Callithrix jacchus: one gene and its partners. The protein of the gene in region 1 binds, or shares a complex with, the protein of each later gene. Links are inferred from orthologs where the notes say so. Each region holds a gene or a part of one and is shown in the gene's direction. Other genes may lie near its edges.

Region 1 (4,060 bases):
TTCGGGGGTAGTTTACAATTACTTATCTTAACTGGAACTAGCTATATTTCAAGTGCTCAAGAGCCACAGATGACTAGCGGATACCACATCATATGCTATATCCCACAGTGTAGTTCTACAGGATTCACTTTCAGTAGAGAGGATCTCATCACCCTCAGCTCCTATAATTATTGTCAGGAAAACCACCTGAAGTCAAACTTTCACCCAGACGGGCCTAACTATTCCAGTACAAGAGATGATTTACACCAGACCCGGGTTTTCAGTTCAGGATTTGGAACTGAGTTGTCTCTGGGAACGATTTTAGCTGGTGTTACCCTTTTCACCTTCCTGTAACATTTTTTTTTTTTTTTTGGAAATTTTAAGTTCAGGGGTACAAGTGCAGGTTTATTATGTAGGTAAACTTGTGTCATGGGGGTTTGTTGTGCAGACTATTTCGTCACCCAGGTATTAAGCCTAGTACCCAATAGCTATTATTCCAGATCCCACCCTCCACCCTCCGAAAGGCCCGTGAGTGTTGTTCCCCTCTTTGCGTCCATGTGTTCTCATCATTTAGTTCCCACTTATAAGTGAGAACGTGTGGTATTCGGTTTTCTGTTCCTTTGTTAGTTTGCTTAAGGATAATAGCCTCCAACTCCATCATGTCCTTGCAAAGGACATGATCATGTTCTTTTTTATGGCTGCAGCTTTTAATCTTTTAATTTAAATGGATTCTTTGCTCCTCCTGAAGATGGAGGCCATCTCCTTTGCAAGGGCTTCTATTTCTCCCTCTTTGATACCAAGATACAATTTCCGCATTTTTAGGTACTTCATAGTAAATCAGTTGGTTCCCCTGCCTGCCGAGGAAAGGTCAGGGGGCTTGTGTAGCGCCACGTCCAGCACTGTTAATTCTTTCAGCGCTTTCGCTTAGCTTGGGCCTCTGGGGGAGCACTCGGAAAACAGCACACGCCAGGGTCTGGGACCACACAGAACCGGATTCGGATTTGCTCCCTCAGCCCTGAAAAGTGGCTCTCTCCCCATCAGCATTATTTGCACAACGGTTTTGTTTTTGGGTGCATCTACCTCACCGCACGCCGGCCATAGAGCAACAAACAGCAAGCACCTAGGGAACACTCGCACCTTCTACTCCTTCAGCCCCGCCACGAACCCTTGGCCAAAGGGAAGGGGGCAGGACATCCGCCCGGTCTCAGCCACCTCCGGAAGTGACGTCTGAGTGTCAACATGCAAGATGGCGGCCCATCACCGGCAGAACACGGCAGGGCGGAGGAAAGTGCAGGTATGGAAGCCTGGTTCCTCGGCCTTCCGGACGAGGCAGGCAGCTCCGGGCCCACTCGACCTAGCAGGTGCCCGGGGCCGCGGCTGGCTGGGGTAGCGGCATGGGGCGAACGGGGCGGGGCGCGGCCGGCCGCGAGGGGTGGGGCCGCGGCGCTAACGGCTCGAGGAAGGGGCGGGGGTCGGCCTACTTGGCCTGGGGGCCCAGGCCCGGGACCCTCGCGGGTGGCAATCTGAGCCCTATATTGCTGGTCGCCGCTCTTCTGTGGGAATAGACTTGCGGAGTCGGGATAGGCTCGTTCCCCGCCCACCTGCCTCCCCCTTCCCCTGCGTTTCTCCGAAGCGCTCTGCCCGCGCTGCGTCCTACCGGAGGCCTCCAGGGGTTTCCCGGGGGGTGGGCGTTGGAGGAGTGAGTGGCCTGTGCGGGGGCGTGGCGAGGTGGCGGAGCGCCAACGGCCCTGCGGGGTTTCTGCAGTGGATTCCGCACCTGGGAGCCCCCAGCCCTCGCTTATGTTGGGCTTGTCCCCTGGGTAGGTGGGAATGACAGAATGTGCATGGGGAAATTATAATTTTAATTGTTTTGGAATTTGGAATTTAAGTTCGGCTTCATTTCTTCATCTTCAGTGTGCATCGCTGAATCTTTATTGTTTGTATAATTTATTGTACATGTGGTAAAGAGTTGTCTAATCCTACCGTGTGTGCCTTGTGCCTTATGCCTTTGTGAATTCACTTTTGTTTGGTGGTACGCTGAAGAGTTATTGCCACTTAGTGTTTTCAGTGATGCAGGGAATAGAAGCCCTATTACAGGTGTTTTCCTGCAGGTGTATTGTACGTAGTAGTGGCAGTTTGGCACTTAGATTGCCCCCTCCTCCCCCGTGTAGGAATAAGTAACACCTAGGCTTTTTTTTTTTTTTTTTTAATAAAACAGCATTATTTGGAGTTCTGCAGATTGAAATCAAGTGTCAGTTGAAGGTAGTCAGATAAAGGGGTCCTTCAGTAAGATAATCCCAGCAGAAAGTGGGAGGCCATAAAGTCTTCTGAGTAGTTCACATCTTGGGTTTTATTCATCGCACTGATCAGTGCAGTCTCTTAAGCACTCACTAGATGTTTGTTGAATTGAGTGAAATTAATAAGAGTCTAAACTCACCCCTGTTAGGTGAGGTTTTCAGTGCATTAGTGATGGAATTTAAGTATCACCAGCATCCAGGGCAGGTAGTGAGAATGTCTCCTAGGGACTGAAATATAACTCAAAATTGTGATCTGATTGTATGATAGACTCTGTGGTGATATACTCCTTAGGGGAGTAAGGGTAGTTAATCAGGCCTGTCAGTTTATTGCTTTAAGACTTAAAAGTCCTATGACTGCAGTGTTCTCCCTGCTTCCTCTCTCCCAGGCCTGCCCACTCCCAAAATATGTGCAATAAAGTATATATATTTTAAAAAGACTTACAAGGCAATTGTACTAGTATGGACTGGGGTGAATGTAAATTAACTGCAGCAGGTTTGGAAAAACCGTGTTTCAATAGGCCGAATGTGAGCCAGTGCACACAGAATGAGGCAGGTGATAGATAAGTCTGCCTTTCAGTGGTCAGAGTACAAAATTAGAGTTTGGTGTTCTGCACTTAGAACCTTGCTCTTCATAGGTAGCAATCAGATTGGTGAACTGACTTGAAATTATTTCCTATGAAGAATTTTTGAAAGGGCTGTCTAAGATTAACCTGCTGAAGAGAAGATTCAGCAGGAGCGTTTGGAATTTGTCCCCAAGGTATAGAAGCAGCCTGAGAAGCCACAGGGATTGATTTCATTGGAAACATCATTGTCTGTGAGTGTTTTTTAAACCAGTGCGTGTTCATTGTAAACAGCCAACAAACAAAAGTATAAATTACTTTTATACTTGGAGTTGCCCTCCATGCTTCCAAGAAGGCTACTGTGGGCAATGTCGTGTTTGAATCTTAGACCAGAGTTAAACAGCCTGAGCATTCTTGACATTTTCGTCTGGATAGTTCTTCGTTGTGTCTGAGGGAGGGAGCTGTCCTGCAACTCACATTGTTTAGGATCATCCCTTGGTTCTACCAACTAGATGTAGTAGCATCTCCCCAGTTGTGACAACTAAAAATGTCTCCAGACAAATGTTCCCTCAAGGGCAAAACTGCATCTGGTTGAGAACCACTGTTCTGTACCTCTTCCTGTTTGTGTACCTGACTTAATGGGATTTTTTTTTTTTTTTTTTTTTTTTTTTTGCTATAAATGGAGCCATAGTATTCACTGTTTTGTGTCTTCCTTTGTCAAATTTATAAATAAACATCCCCTTTGGCCCAGAATTCCTTATCTAAAAATATATTCTACAAAATTGCATATGCATATATCTATCCCTGCTTATGCAAGGGTGTTGTGTGAAGCCATTATTGAATTGCTATAAAGAAATACCTCAGACTGGGTAATTTATAAAGAAAAGAGGCACAATTGGCTCACAGTTCTGCAGGCTTTACAATAAGTATGGTGCTGGATCTGCTCATCTTCCAGGGAGGCCTCAGAGAGAGTGAGTCTAAAAAGCAAGTCAGCATGGCCTGATCCCATTTCCACAAAGGGAAATGCATTTTAAACGTCTGAAAGGGTAATAGCAGTGATTATCCCTTTGGGAATAGATTGTATGATTATAGATAAGACAGGACATGGGATATCTTTTAGTGTGAAATATACACAGACCTTGGTATTTTTGAACTTTTTACCACATTATTTACTCTTACTCATTTTGGAAAAGGCATATATGGGTACTTGGAGTAAATATACTT
Region 2 (4,135 bases), on another chromosome or scaffold:
ACTTGCTTTGTGGTACAGAAAATGTTTATGATTTAGACTTCTCCTACTTTGGAAATTGCTCCCGTTCGCTTCCTTTGTGACCCTCCAGATCTAATCTGAACCTTCAGGAATAGTTCAATTTCAGTGTTACAAATGTTGGTTCCCCCCCCCCCCCCACCCTGGAATCCTATCAGAATGTTTGTCACTTTAGAAACTTTCTTATTCTGGTGCAACACGCCAAGAAACCCAGGTATAAAATAGTGACTGTTTCATCTTGCGTTGGCACGCGTGCCCGTCCTTACAAATCTAGACCCCGTGCATTACATGCATACCACTATCCCTACGGATCTCCTAGTAAACAGTCTTACAGACTCCGCTTGAGGCTTCTGAAAAAGAATCAATTACCTTAAATGTTATTAAGAGCTGTTCATAAACCACTGAGCAGCAGACGTGAATCCTGCACAGACGCAGTCCGCAGTTCCCAAAGCGCTTCCCGCCCCGCCCCCCGTCTAGGAACAGCCGGTGAGGACAAACCTTCGCTAAGAAGCGGAGGCCGCCAGTGCTCACCACGCAGGAAAAGGACATCTGGCTTGAGAATACCCGTGCGCTGCCACGTTCTTCTCTCTCCCCACCCCGCCTAAAAAACACACACACAGTGAAGCGTAAATCTTGAGTCCTTCGGTACCTTCTCAGAAACGGCGGGGAGGAGGCTTCACAGGGGCTTCCGGACAGGGGATCCAGACGGTCGCGCGAGTCCTCGAGCCCTCTAGGCGGGACAGTCCCCGTCCCGAAGGGAGGGCGCAGGAGGGCTGGAGCCGTCCCAGCTCCCGGCAGGGGACCCCGCGTGCTGGCCCCGAAGCAGTGGCAGTCGGGGTGGCGCTCTTCTCTTCGGGGTCCCGGTACCCCTCAGGGCAGGGCGGGAGACAGCTGAGGAGGCGCCCTCAAGTTCGCCTCAAGCTCCGGACGCAAGGCCCGCCGCGGCTTCCCCGGTCCGGCTTTCCGTCTGCCCGGGCGGATGCGGAATGAGCAACCTGAGCCCCCAAGCGGGAGCCGGCTTCACCTGGGAAGCAGCCCAGCAGCCCGGAAGCCACGCCCAAGGGAGGAGCTTGCGGACGCCCCGCCGCGTGGAGCGCGCCAGGTGAGCACGCCTGCGCAGTCGGGCCGTAAACAAGCCCGCCCCTTCTCTTCGGCCCGCCTTCGTGGGGCTGGCCCGCGGGTGGGAGGGGCGAGAAGGAAGAGGCGGGGTGGGGGAAGAGCGAGCAGCAGGAACGGCGCCTGCGCGGTGGGCGTGATCCGGGCACTTAGGGCAGGATGAACGCTGCTTTCCAAGATGGCGACGGAGGGAGGAGGGAAGGAGATGAACGAGATTAAGACCCAATTCACTACCCGGGAAGGTCTCTACAAGCTGCTGCCGCACTCGGAGTACAGCCGGCCCAACCGGGTGCCCTTCAACTCGCAGGGATCCAACCCTGTCCGCGTCTCCTTCGTAAACCTCAACGACCAGTCTGGCAACGGCGACCGCCTCTGCTTCAATGTGGGCCGGGAGCTCTACTTCTATATCTACAAGGGGGTCCGCAAGGTACCGACCCGGGCGTCACCGGGGCCCGCCAGCGGCGTGGGCAGAGGCCGGGAGCAGGGCGGTGACAGCGGGGCCAGGGTGACCGAGATGGGTGGCCGTCGCTCTTACTTTTGAGTGGGCCGGTAACTCCACTGGGGTGCTCCTGAGGAGAGGGGATTCAGGAGTGAGGAGGGTGGTGGCGGTGGCGTTTCGAAGGAGTGGGGGCTGTGGAAAGGGACCGTGGGGCGCGGGGTTCCGCCTGGGAGTCTCCCGGAGGAGCCGGCTGCGTCCCCTCCAGCCTGGTCCGTCAGGCTCTGACATGGCCAGGGAGCGGGCCTGCGAGTCCCCGGAAGAGGTGGGGTGGCCGTCTTGTCTGCTTCGATTGTCTCGCCTCCCTGGAGGGTTGGAAGTCTTTCCCTGGGTTAGAGAACAGGGGCGCAAGACGGCTTAGCAGGATCTCCGCAAGGCGGAACCCGGGCCGGGGAGCGGAGGACCGAGACTAGGTCAGAAAGAACCTGCTCGGCACGCAGGGCTACTCCACCTGCTGCCGCACTGACACTTCCTAGGAGCTTCTTTTGGTATTAACACTTCTATTTCCGAAAACATCCGCGGGAGGACGGCTGTCACTGTCTCCTCCGAGGGGACCTTCTCAAAGATTGTTAAGAAGGGTCATCTTGTCTGTCCCTGTAGTATGAGAAGGGCTGAGTACCACAGTTGTTGCAATAATGTGTCCAGGTTCAGAGGGGTGGTGTGTGAGTGCCCAGATTAATCTTGTCCAACAAGTCAGACTGTGTCCCAAGTAGGGAGGAATATGCCTTAAAAGCTACTTTAAAGGGGCCATCCTTCTTGGCGGGTGAGGTACCAGTAATTCTGTGAAGCCTGTAAGCATCCTTTAAAAGTATCTCTTTAAAAGCAGCAATTTATTAGAGCTTTTCTTTCGTTGACTATGTAACTATGTTTTCACTGAGAATTGCTATTTTTGAGATTGTAGTCTTTGACTTGATTTCATGGAAGAGTGAGGAAATTAATGCATCCCACACCACCTCCAAATGGGACAAGGTGATAAAAGATTAATTCGTAAATGTATGTTAGCATGAAAATAAATTGTACATAGCGAAGAGTGAACATTCCCTAGAATTTAATATAGCCAGATCCAGTACAGGATTTTTGCTTGTTAAAAGAGCTGGGGAAATGACAGTGGTATCTAAATGTAGCAAGTTGTTTCTTTCAGGGTGAATCTTTTAAGTGTTTAGGGTATGCTGTTGGAAGTTATTGAAGGTAAATCGCTTGACCTTTTTTTTTTTTTTTTTTCTCTTTTGGTATTGCAAAAGCTTGAAGTTGCCTTCAGTCTACGAGCTGAAGTTTTACTCCTACTCCCAACATTGTCACTTGTTGGGTGACCTTGGATAACTTATTTAACTTATATTTTCACCTCTTTGAAAAGGGAATGTTACAGTGCATATGTTGTAATTAATAATATAATAACTCTGGCCGGGTGTGGCTCATGCCTGTAATCCCAGCACTTTGGGAGGCCAAGGCAGAGGGATCATCTGATGTCGGGAGTTCGAGACCAGCCTGACCAACGTGGAAAAACCCCATCTCTACTAAAAATACAAAATTAGCCGGGCGTGGTGGTGCATGCCTGTAATCCTAGCTGCTTGGGAGGCTGAGGCAGGAGAATCACTAGAACTCGGAAGGCAGAGGTTGCAGTGAGCTGAGATTGCACCATTGCGCTCTATCCTGGGCAACAAGAGTGAAACTCTGTCTCAAAAAATAATAATAATATAGTAACTGTAATGAACACTCAGTATATGTAAAATATAGTTAAATACTAAGAGTAACTGTCAAATAAGAAGCTGCCATCTTGACGTTGATATTCAGAGTGAAAGGATCAATTTTGTCTCTGGAAATTAAGTTAGAATTTTAAGTTTTAAAAATACAGTGTGCCTAAAAACTAAATTAACTAGCAATTATTAATGCAGGCATTACTTTAAAAAAAAGTTTTCTGGCTGGGTGCGGTGGTTCACGCCTGTAATCCCAGCACTTTGGGAGGTCAAGGCAGATGGATCATCTGAGGTCAGGAGTTCAAGACCAGCCTGGCCAACATGGTGAAACCCCGTCTCTACTGAAAATGCAAAACTTAGCCAGGCATGATGGCGTGTGCCTGTAATCCCAGCTACTCAGGAGGCTGAGGCAGGAGATACCTCTTGAACCCGGGAGGCGGAGGTTGTCGTGAGCTGAGATTGTGCCACTTCACTGCAGCCTGGGTGACAGAGCTAGACTCCATCCCACCCTCAACAAGTTTTTTTTTTTTCTTTCAAAGGTTATTACCTTAGAAGCATCCTAGTGGCAAACCTTATCTGGATCTGGTAGCCCTGGTTTACCTCATAAAGACAGGTTTCTTGCCTGGGAGTATCATTGTAATAGTGTTCTCTTTTAGTGGAACGCTATTCACGGAAGGATAGAAGTAGGCAAGGTTTTTAAAGCTATATCAAAAAATTATTTTAAATAAGATAAATCTGAAATACGTAAATTGCCCTTACCTGCACAATTCGAGTGTTTTAACGTGTTTTGGGGGGTAGGATTTCATTTTCATGT
Region 3 (4,173 bases), on another chromosome or scaffold:
GAAAAGTACCCCATCACTTCAGCAATTAGAAAATATCACGGGTCGGGCGCGGTGGCTCAAGCCTGTAATCCCAGCACTTTGGGAGGCCGAAGCGGGCGGATCACGAGGTCAGGAGTTCATGACCAGCCTGACCAACATGGTGAAACCCCGTCTCTACTAAAAAAATACAAAAATTAGCCCGACGTGGTGCCACACGCCTGTAACCCCAGCTACTGGGGAGGGTAAGGCAGGAGAAACGCTTGAACCTGGGAGGCAGGGGTTGCGGTGAGCCAGGAACACGCCATTGCACTCCAGCCTGGGCGACAGAGACTGTGTCTCAAAAAAAAAGAGCTTTTTAACATCATAATTTATGAAGCTATTCCACTCACTTGAACTACTTTCTCAAATAGGAAAAAATAAAGCTGAGCTGCCAGACACGATGAACTGGGTGCAATGATGAATTTTATAAGAGGAGAAAAGAGGAACTACCCATGCCAGTAGCCAGCACTGCCTGAGGATTTCTCACAGGGCATTTTTCTTGCTTGCGGGCTTCTTGTTTCTGGTAATATCATCATCACTGCTGGCTTGAGATCTTCTCTATTCTGTAGCACAATGTGCAGATATTTAGAAACCTATTCTAAATTTATGGGCAACAGGCCGACAGGATTCGTTGCTCTCCCCACTTCCCCCATTACTTATCTTTCTTCTTAATTCAAAGAGTTAAACGTGTAATTTGTTCTTTGCCGCTTCATTTTTATTTGATTATTTTGTCTTTTTCTAAGTTGTGTTTGACTCCAGGAATTCATCCAATACACGGAAAAAGAAACCAAGTTCTTGGGACGCATACCTGGGTTATCTTAACTGTGCAGAGCATGTTTCCTCCCACTCCGCACGAAGTTACCCAGATCATCGCCTCCGTTTTCTGTTTAGGCAGCGGGAGATCACTATAGCCTCGCCCGCGGTGGGTGTCGCAGTCTGGCCCCTCCCGGGTTCTCCCAGGTCGCCGCAGCCGCCCCCGCGACTCCTCGCCGCCCCTCTTCCTACGAGGGGGCTCGGGCGCCCGGCACTAGGACCGCAGGGACGCAGGCAAAAGACAGTGCCCGCCCTCGGTCCCGCCCTCGGCCTCGCGCGGGGTGGGGCCGGGCAGGAGTTCCTTGGCTCGCGCTCCCGGGCCGCCGAGGGGGGCGCCGAGGGGTGGGCGGGGCTGCGCCGCCGGGCCGCGCTGCTGCCTGGCAGGCCGGGCATTAGGGCCTCAGCGGAGTCCGCTCCCCTGCGCGCTGGGCGGGGTGGGCGGCGGGCGGCTTCGCGGGCAGGCGCGGGCCCGGAGGCAGCGGCTGCGCCCTGCGCCGGGGCGGAGCCGGGGGCGGGCCGGCGGCCGGCAGGCGGGGGGCTGGGGCCCGAGGCCGGGAGTGCCTGAGCGCCGGCGGCGACGACGGCAGCGGCGGCCCAGCGGGCTCGGTGCGTGGGTCCGCTGCGGCTCGGGGTCCGCCCGCGGGCTGCAGTGCGAGCGGGCGGCCCGGCTCCCCTCATCCCCCGCCCGCCGCCGCCGCTGTGATTGGGTGGAAGATGGCGCTGGGCGGATGGAAATCCTAATGACAGTCTCCAAATTCGCCTCCATCTGTACCATGGTAGGTGCAGCGGGCGGGCGGCAGGGGCAGCCGGGACCTCTCGGGCGGGCGGACGGCGCTGGACCCGTTTCTCCCTGTGGCCGCTCGCGGGGCCTAGCGCGGGGGCGGGCGTGCGGGCGGCCCGGGTGGGGGCGGTCGGACGGCGCTCGGGCGGGGAGCGCGGGGGTGAGCGGCCCAGGCGTCCGGGGAGGGGGCGCCGCCTGGCGGGCCGGGGCTGCGCGAGGGTGGCGGTGAGGGGCCCACGGTGCGGGACGCGGCGAGGGGTGGGCACTGGCCTCCGGGAGTCCCCGACCGAACTGCTGGTGTCCGCGCCGGGCCAAGGGCCGAAGCGCGCCTGGCCTGTGGCGGGGCAGCGGGTGGGCGCGCAGGAGCCCGAGCGCGGCCCTGGGCCAGGGTCGCCGAGGAGGGGGCGAGGAGCTGCGGAGCCGCGAGGGCTCCATTTCCTCCTGGCCGCGCGCCGAGAGGGAGGTGTCCCCGGGCGGGGTGGGGGTCGGCGGGCAGGAAGGAAGGGTCTCTGCCGGGGCGGGCTGCGCTCTTTCCCGCCAGGGAGAGGACGGAAGTCAAGTGCAGATTTCCTCGCGCCGCTGGCCGGGCCGAGTCCCCGACCCCGCGCTGGCGGAAAGGGGCGTATGTAAAGATGGAAACTTTAAATAAGTGTTGTTGAAATTCTCTCCATTTTTCTCTTCGGAGAGGCACGAGCTCTCGTTTCCAGCCGTGTGTCCAGGTGGCAGTCTTGTCTGTGGGAATGCACGTTAATCTTTAAAAGCATTAGCTTTCCTGTCATTTGTTTACTTCGGCCCACCAGACACATCTGTATGTGGTGAAGCTACGTCTGTCTGTGTGCGGGGACCGCCTGCCAATGCGATGATATTTGTTTTCTTAGGGCGCTTAAATAGACTATAAAGGAAAAGCGCTAATCCTCGCTGGAAGTCCCGAATTAAGCAAAACGTGGGCGCGTTTAAAACTTGGTGTTTTGTGCTTGGCCAGAAGGACCACAGTTTTCCACATGATGAGACAAATTCGTTTCATTAGCGCCTCATGAGCTTATATGTAGGGATCATAATTTATGAGTCATCACCGAAAAAAGTTGTTCTTTGCAACGTGGACCTATTGGTTGTTATTAAAGACTTCTGAAAGCTTGTGTTTGATGCCTCACTGGCCCTATTTATGCAACCGATTTCATATAGGAGAGCCTCAAGCAATTTTCCATCTAAGGATGGTCCATTGTGTATATTTTTCTTTGAGGAGTGGTGAATCTGATCGGAAAGATGCTTTAAAAGCAGATTCTCTACTGCATGCTGAGGAACAGTACAAAAAATGGCTGAAATCAGCTGGACATAAAATCGACAATATTTAAGAAATCATATTGAAGACTCCATTTCCCAACTGGATGGTGGTTCTTTCTCAAAGTTTACGTTTTAGGAAGGCATTGGTATTAAATGGACTATTTTAAAGTGATTTTCAAGAATTGTTTGGGCTAATTATTTTCAGATACGCCAATTATTATCTTACTCAGTTTCAAAAGAATGCGATAATTAGGTCTTTTACAGTGATACCAGATTGCTGATCTACACACATTGTAATGATCATAGTTCACTGTCAAAGAATGGGATTTCAGGAGTGGTGTGATACTCTTATTCATTCACTCAGGTACTGTACATCTACGTTTAGCAGCTACTAGGTGCTAGAGGTGGGGCTGAGTGCTGGGGATGCTGTAGTGGTCAGGATAGCCCCGGCTTTCATGGTGTTTACGTTCTTCATGGACACAAACTGTATTTAAATTAATATATTAATAAATATGTGCTGTAATCACATTAGGACAGTGAGACACAGGGATTTGCCAGCGTCGCACACTTAGTAAGTGGGATTCTGATCTCCAAGATCAGAATCGGGAGCTCTTTCTAGGGCTTCCACCCAGATGCATTAATTACAGGTGGGGTGTGTGTATTGTTGGCAAATACTGAAAGTGCCTGGCCGAACGAGATTGTTCAAAAGGTACTATTAAAATTGGGTGTGTCTTTATTCGTATTTGAATACATTCTAATGTACCCTCAAATAGTGCTAAATATCTCAAAGTAGTTTGCAGTCTTATTCTTTAAAGAAAATGCTATCTGTCCTCTTGAGAATCACAAAATTGAAAAACAAAGATACCTCTTTAGCTTTGTAGGTGCCGTTTTGCTAGGCTTGGAATGCTTCCTCTGCCCTACCCCCCATCCTTGTATTGCGAGGATGTGTACCTCTTAAGCAGGGAGCTTTACTTGAATAATCCTACCCCTCTCCAACCCAACCCTCCATCCCCCTCATACAACTTCATGCCATTTTTGAAATGTCAGTAGCACCTATCATATTTAAACTGTGTAGTATATTTTTCTTTGAACTCTTACTCAGTTGTGAGGGCCTTGAAGGGGAAGAACTATCAGACTATCATTTACATTTACTTCTACAGTTTGATCTGGAGTACTAAGTTCTGCATTCAGTATAAAAGTGTTAAAAGTCCTTCCTATCTCCTGGAATGCCGGGTGAAGCAGGGATGATACTGGGTGTGTGTGTGGAATGGTGGAGAGAA
Region 4 (3,560 bases), on another chromosome or scaffold:
ATCTTGGCCCTACATCTAAAGCGGTTCAAGTACATGGAACAGTTGCACAGATACACCAAGCTGTCTTACCGTGTGGTCTTCCCTCTGGAGCTCCGGCTCTTCAACACCTCCAGTGATGCAGTGAACCTGGACCGCATGTATGACCTGGTTGCTGTGGTTGTTCACTGTGGCAGGTAAGGGCACGACCGGAAGCAGGTGCACAGGGTAAGCGTAAGGTTACCCTTGGCTGAAATATATCCAGCTGCACCTTTCCTGTGCCATGGCACTAAGCGTTTTTGGGATCTCTTCCAAACTCTTACTAATCATCTCAATAAATACATAAACATGCCTACAGACACATTTAAAAAATAGCATTCCAACAGTGATCATCTAAATGTTCTGTTATGAGAGAAATAATAAATCTTCATTGCATAGAAATAATGGTTCTGAGGAATTTGAAATAACATGGAGAAACAAATGTCTATGCTATGATTTTAATTTTTAAAAAGCCAAGTTAGATTTACAGTATGATCTCAAAAGCATTTTAAGATGTGTAAATAAAGACTAGAAGCAATGGATCAAATTTAATAATCTTTGGCACTTGAGTGATTAAGAACATATTCTTAAAAAATATTCTTTGTTATTTTTGGTCTTTCCCCAAATTCTAAAATAAGTATATAATCAGAAAAAAGAAAGTAAGAGAGAGAAGGCCTCTAGATACGGAGAGGCAAAGCATTTTGCCGAAATTTGAGAAGATTTTTTTATTCCGTAATTTGGTATAAATGCAGAAGAATATACTGAAAATTCACCTGTTTGTTATTCTTTGCTCAGCTGGGACAGCTTTATGTGCTACCTTGCGGGTAGGCACAGCTTTCCTCCTGCCCTCCTAGGTTTTAGATTGGGGCCTATCACAGAGAAAGAGTCTTTTTCTCCATCTGCTGAGATGGATTATAGTGAACACATTACCAGAAGACTACCATTGCCACGTGGAGGGATGGATTAATTTGTTTTTTAATTGTGTGCTAGGGTGGATGTATCCGAAACTGTAACTTCATATCTGAAGCACCCCATATTTTGTCCTGTGTGTATTGACTTTAAGTCACTGGATATTTTCTTGTATTCTCAGTAAAATTGTATGTATGGGCTAGTTGTATACCTGTGTTGTGGTGTTCTTCCCTGAAGAACAGGTGTTACTCTTTTGAAGAGCACAGGTTTCCAGATCACTGGAACCTAGCCTTGAGCGCTGGGTGAGGCCTCACATTGGTGCAGGGTTGGAGAAGGTCTTAGGGCAGGCAGAGCCTGGGACCTGGTAGGCATTGCAGCTAAAGTGGGTGGCAGGGGTGGTGTGGATGGGAGGGCCTGCTGGGAAAGCTAGGCGAAGGAGAAACACAGGTGCCCCTTGCACGGGGGGCTCTGTGAGTATCTGATTTGAATCCTTGGGAGGACTGGCAGAGACCCATGTGAGGGAACTGAATGACCAGTGGGAGGTTGGGTTCTCTAAGGTCAGTTTCCGTAATGTGAGCACAAGGTAAGAAAGGCCCTGGCAGCAAAGATCAGTTGGTGCCAAATCAGGCATGCTACTAACTAGGATTCTTCAAACTCCTCCCAGCAGAAGTAGGGCCGTTCTCCTATGTGGAGTGGGGCTGGCCTGTGCATGGAGATTGGGTGGCTTCCAGGTGGCACTGGAAAGCTTTGAGGTTAGGGAGCTGGGCCTGCCTTACCTTCCATGCTCCTGGCCCATAGTTGCAGCAAGTGCACAACCTTGTGCATTGATTTCTGCTGCAGGTTTTTTTTTAAGCTCATGTTTTCTGGGTTCCATGCCAGGATCTGAAGGTAGAGTAACGAAAAGACACACAGCACAGGGGCCCTGCCATCACAAAGCTTACAATCTATCTGGAAATACTGATAATGAACAAAAAAAACCACACCACTCTATTATCACCAAAAATAAACCACTGCAAGATACTTTATGATTTTGATCAGTGCTATCAGGAATAAACAGGGAGATGAGTGAGTGGTGGGAGATACCTCTTCAGGTGAAGTGGTCAGCAGAGATTTATCTGGGGAGGTAACATCTGAGCTGAGGCATAAAAAGAATGCAGTTGGGGAAGGATCATCTCTGGCAGAGTTTACAGCAATGCAAAGGCCCACAATGTGAAGGGGGCATGTGTGAGAGGAGCCTGAGGAGCTGGAGCTCAGAGGAAAGGGAGACGTAGCTGGAGGAGGCTGGAGAAAGAGCAGAAACAGATCATTGGCATCATCTTGTGCTGAAAGAGGGTAAACAAAAGGGGAGGTTTTCTCAACTTTAACAGTGCATTAAAAAACAGTTCTAGGTTTAGGATTAAAATCCCCTTACTCGTGCAAATCTAACCTAACTACATAGTAACTGTTGCTTAGTTGTTCTTTCTGCTTTTTTCCATATAGCATACTGTATGGCTTTTTATTTTAATACTTGTTACTAAGCATCTTGGTTTGTTGATATTTTTCTAAAACAGATCATACAACTCCTTAAAATTCCCTTATCTTCCTGGCTTGCTCGAAGCAAAGCCTAAAATCTTACCTGCGATTTCTCCTGCACCTGCCCCTCAGTCCGCTCTGGTCTTCCTCTCCCCGCTCACTCTGCTGCTCTGGCCTCCTTTGGCCTCTCTGCTGTTTGTGAACACACCAAGTGTTACTCGCCTGCCCCAGGCCTTTCCACTTGTTATTCCCTATTTCTGAAACTTCCATCCAGAGCCGCATGGCTTCCCCCTACCCCCTGACCCCCTACCCCTACCCCTACTCCTATCCCTGCCATTTCCTTCAGGGAAATTTTCTTGTGCCCACATTATCCAAGTGGCCTCCCTTCACCGTCTATCAAATAACACCTCCTGCCATCGCTCAGATCCCATTACTCTGCTTCATCCTTCTCCATGACACTTCTCACCACTTGACCTAGATTTATAAGCTTAGTTTGTGTATTGCCAATCTAGCTCCTATCCCAAGTCCCAAATAAGTGAGGTCTTTGTTTTGTTCACTGCTTCTTCTCCTGACAGCTAGAATAGGGCCCAACACAGAGTAGGTAGAGAGTAATGTTTTGTTAATATTTGCTGAATCTGAGTGTCTGTTTTTCCTGCTGGATTATGAGTCCTTAGAAGATACCTCTCCTGCGCACTTTTGTATTCCCCTACATCCAGCATGGTGTTGTGGACATAGACATGGGCTCTATGCCAAGATCTTTGTCCTGATAACTTAGTTTTCCCCCCAGAGAATCACTGCTTGTAAAGAGCTCAGTAGTGTTTTATAAAGAGATCAATGTTAACATGCTAACTTCTTTTATTTGTTCTTTTCCAGTGGTCCTAATCGTGGGCATTATATCACTATTGTGAAAAGTCACGGCTTCTGGCTTTTGTTTGATGATGACATTGTAGAGGTTGGTTTGCAGATTATTCTCCAGTAGTCACAGGGCATCAATAGTATTTCGGGGAATGTGTATATATAGACGTTTTTTAAAGTAGGCCTGTTTCCTCATAATGTAACTTGAAGACCACTTACATTTCTATTCAAAACCAAATTCTGCTGATCCCCATGCTCTGTGGAAAGGG

What was found.
Region 2: the proteins of WDR48 (region 1) and WDR20 are in contact, whole or in part, in a crystal structure (PDB 5K1C), measured with the Homo sapiens proteins. The link is inferred for Callithrix jacchus from reciprocal best matches to the Homo sapiens genes WDR48 and WDR20. Residues at the interface, in NP_065890.1 of Homo sapiens: Val191, Lys207, Gly208, Gly240, Gln241, Gln242, Arg243, Cys244, Ile245; in NP_653175.2 of Homo sapiens: Arg20, Ser364, Thr384, Glu385, Asp386, Glu524, Pro525, Leu526.
Region 3: the proteins of WDR48 (region 1) and USP12 are in contact, whole or in part, in a crystal structure (PDB 5K1C), measured with the Homo sapiens proteins. The link is inferred for Callithrix jacchus from reciprocal best matches to the Homo sapiens genes WDR48 and USP12. Residues at the interface, in NP_065890.1 of Homo sapiens: Arg50, Trp77, Asp118, Tyr119, Lys121, Leu137, Ser170, Tyr172, Thr188, Asp211, Asn212, Lys214, Ser230, Gly254, Trp256, Arg272, Ile363, Ile364, Leu424, Lys425; in NP_872294.2 of Homo sapiens: Arg185, Leu187, Thr188, Cys189, Glu190, Thr191, Ser227, Lys230, Cys236, Arg237, Ser238, Lys239, Gln240, Glu241, His243.
Region 4: the proteins of WDR48 (region 1) and USP46 are in contact, whole or in part, in a crystal structure (PDB 6JLQ), measured with the Homo sapiens proteins. The link is inferred for Callithrix jacchus from reciprocal best matches to the Homo sapiens genes WDR48 and USP46. Residues at the interface, in NP_065890.1 of Homo sapiens: Arg50, Trp77, Asp118, Tyr119, Lys121, Leu137, Arg139, Ser170, Tyr172, Thr188, Asp211, Asn212, Lys214, Ser230, Gly254, Trp256, Arg272, Ile364, Leu424, Lys425, Gly521; in NP_073743.2 of Homo sapiens: Arg181, Leu183, Asn184, Cys185, Glu186, Thr187, Cys222, Ser223, Glu224, Lys226, Cys232, Cys233, Ser234, Lys235, Gln236, Glu237, Gln239.

Annotation. Positions count from the first base shown.
Region 1 is NC_133518.1:76,908,831-76,912,890, forward strand, and holds the start of WDR48 (WD repeat-containing protein 48), read left to right. Parts: upstream 1-1,208; 5' UTR 1,209-1,225; coding exon 1,226-1,273; intron 1,274-4,060. UniProt on the Homo sapiens protein: Regulator of deubiquitinating complexes, which acts as a strong activator of USP1, USP12 and USP46. Enhances the USP1-mediated deubiquitination of FANCD2; USP1 being almost inactive by itself.
Region 2 is NC_133509.1:137,066,376-137,070,510, forward strand, and holds the start of WDR20 (WD repeat-containing protein 20), read left to right. Parts: upstream 1-1,282; 5' UTR 1,283-1,309; coding exon 1,310-1,558; intron 1,559-4,135. UniProt on the Homo sapiens protein: Regulator of deubiquitinating complexes. Activates deubiquitinating activity of complexes containing USP12. Anchors at the base of the ubiquitin-contacting loop of USP12 and remotely modulates the catalytic center of the enzyme.
Region 3 is NC_133506.1:146,334,756-146,338,928, reverse strand, and holds the start of USP12 (ubiquitin carboxyl-terminal hydrolase 12), read left to right. Parts: upstream 1-1,332; 5' UTR 1,333-1,559; coding exon 1,560-1,607; intron 1,608-4,173. UniProt on the Homo sapiens protein: Deubiquitinating enzyme that plays various roles in the regulation of the immune response and inflammation.
Region 4 is NC_133504.1:144,023,712-144,027,271, forward strand, and holds part of USP46 (ubiquitin carboxyl-terminal hydrolase 46), read left to right. Parts: coding exon 1-173; intron 174-3,309; coding exon 3,310-3,388; intron 3,389-3,560. UniProt on the Homo sapiens protein: Deubiquitinating enzyme that plays a role in behavior, possibly by regulating GABA action. May act by mediating the deubiquitination of GAD1/GAD67.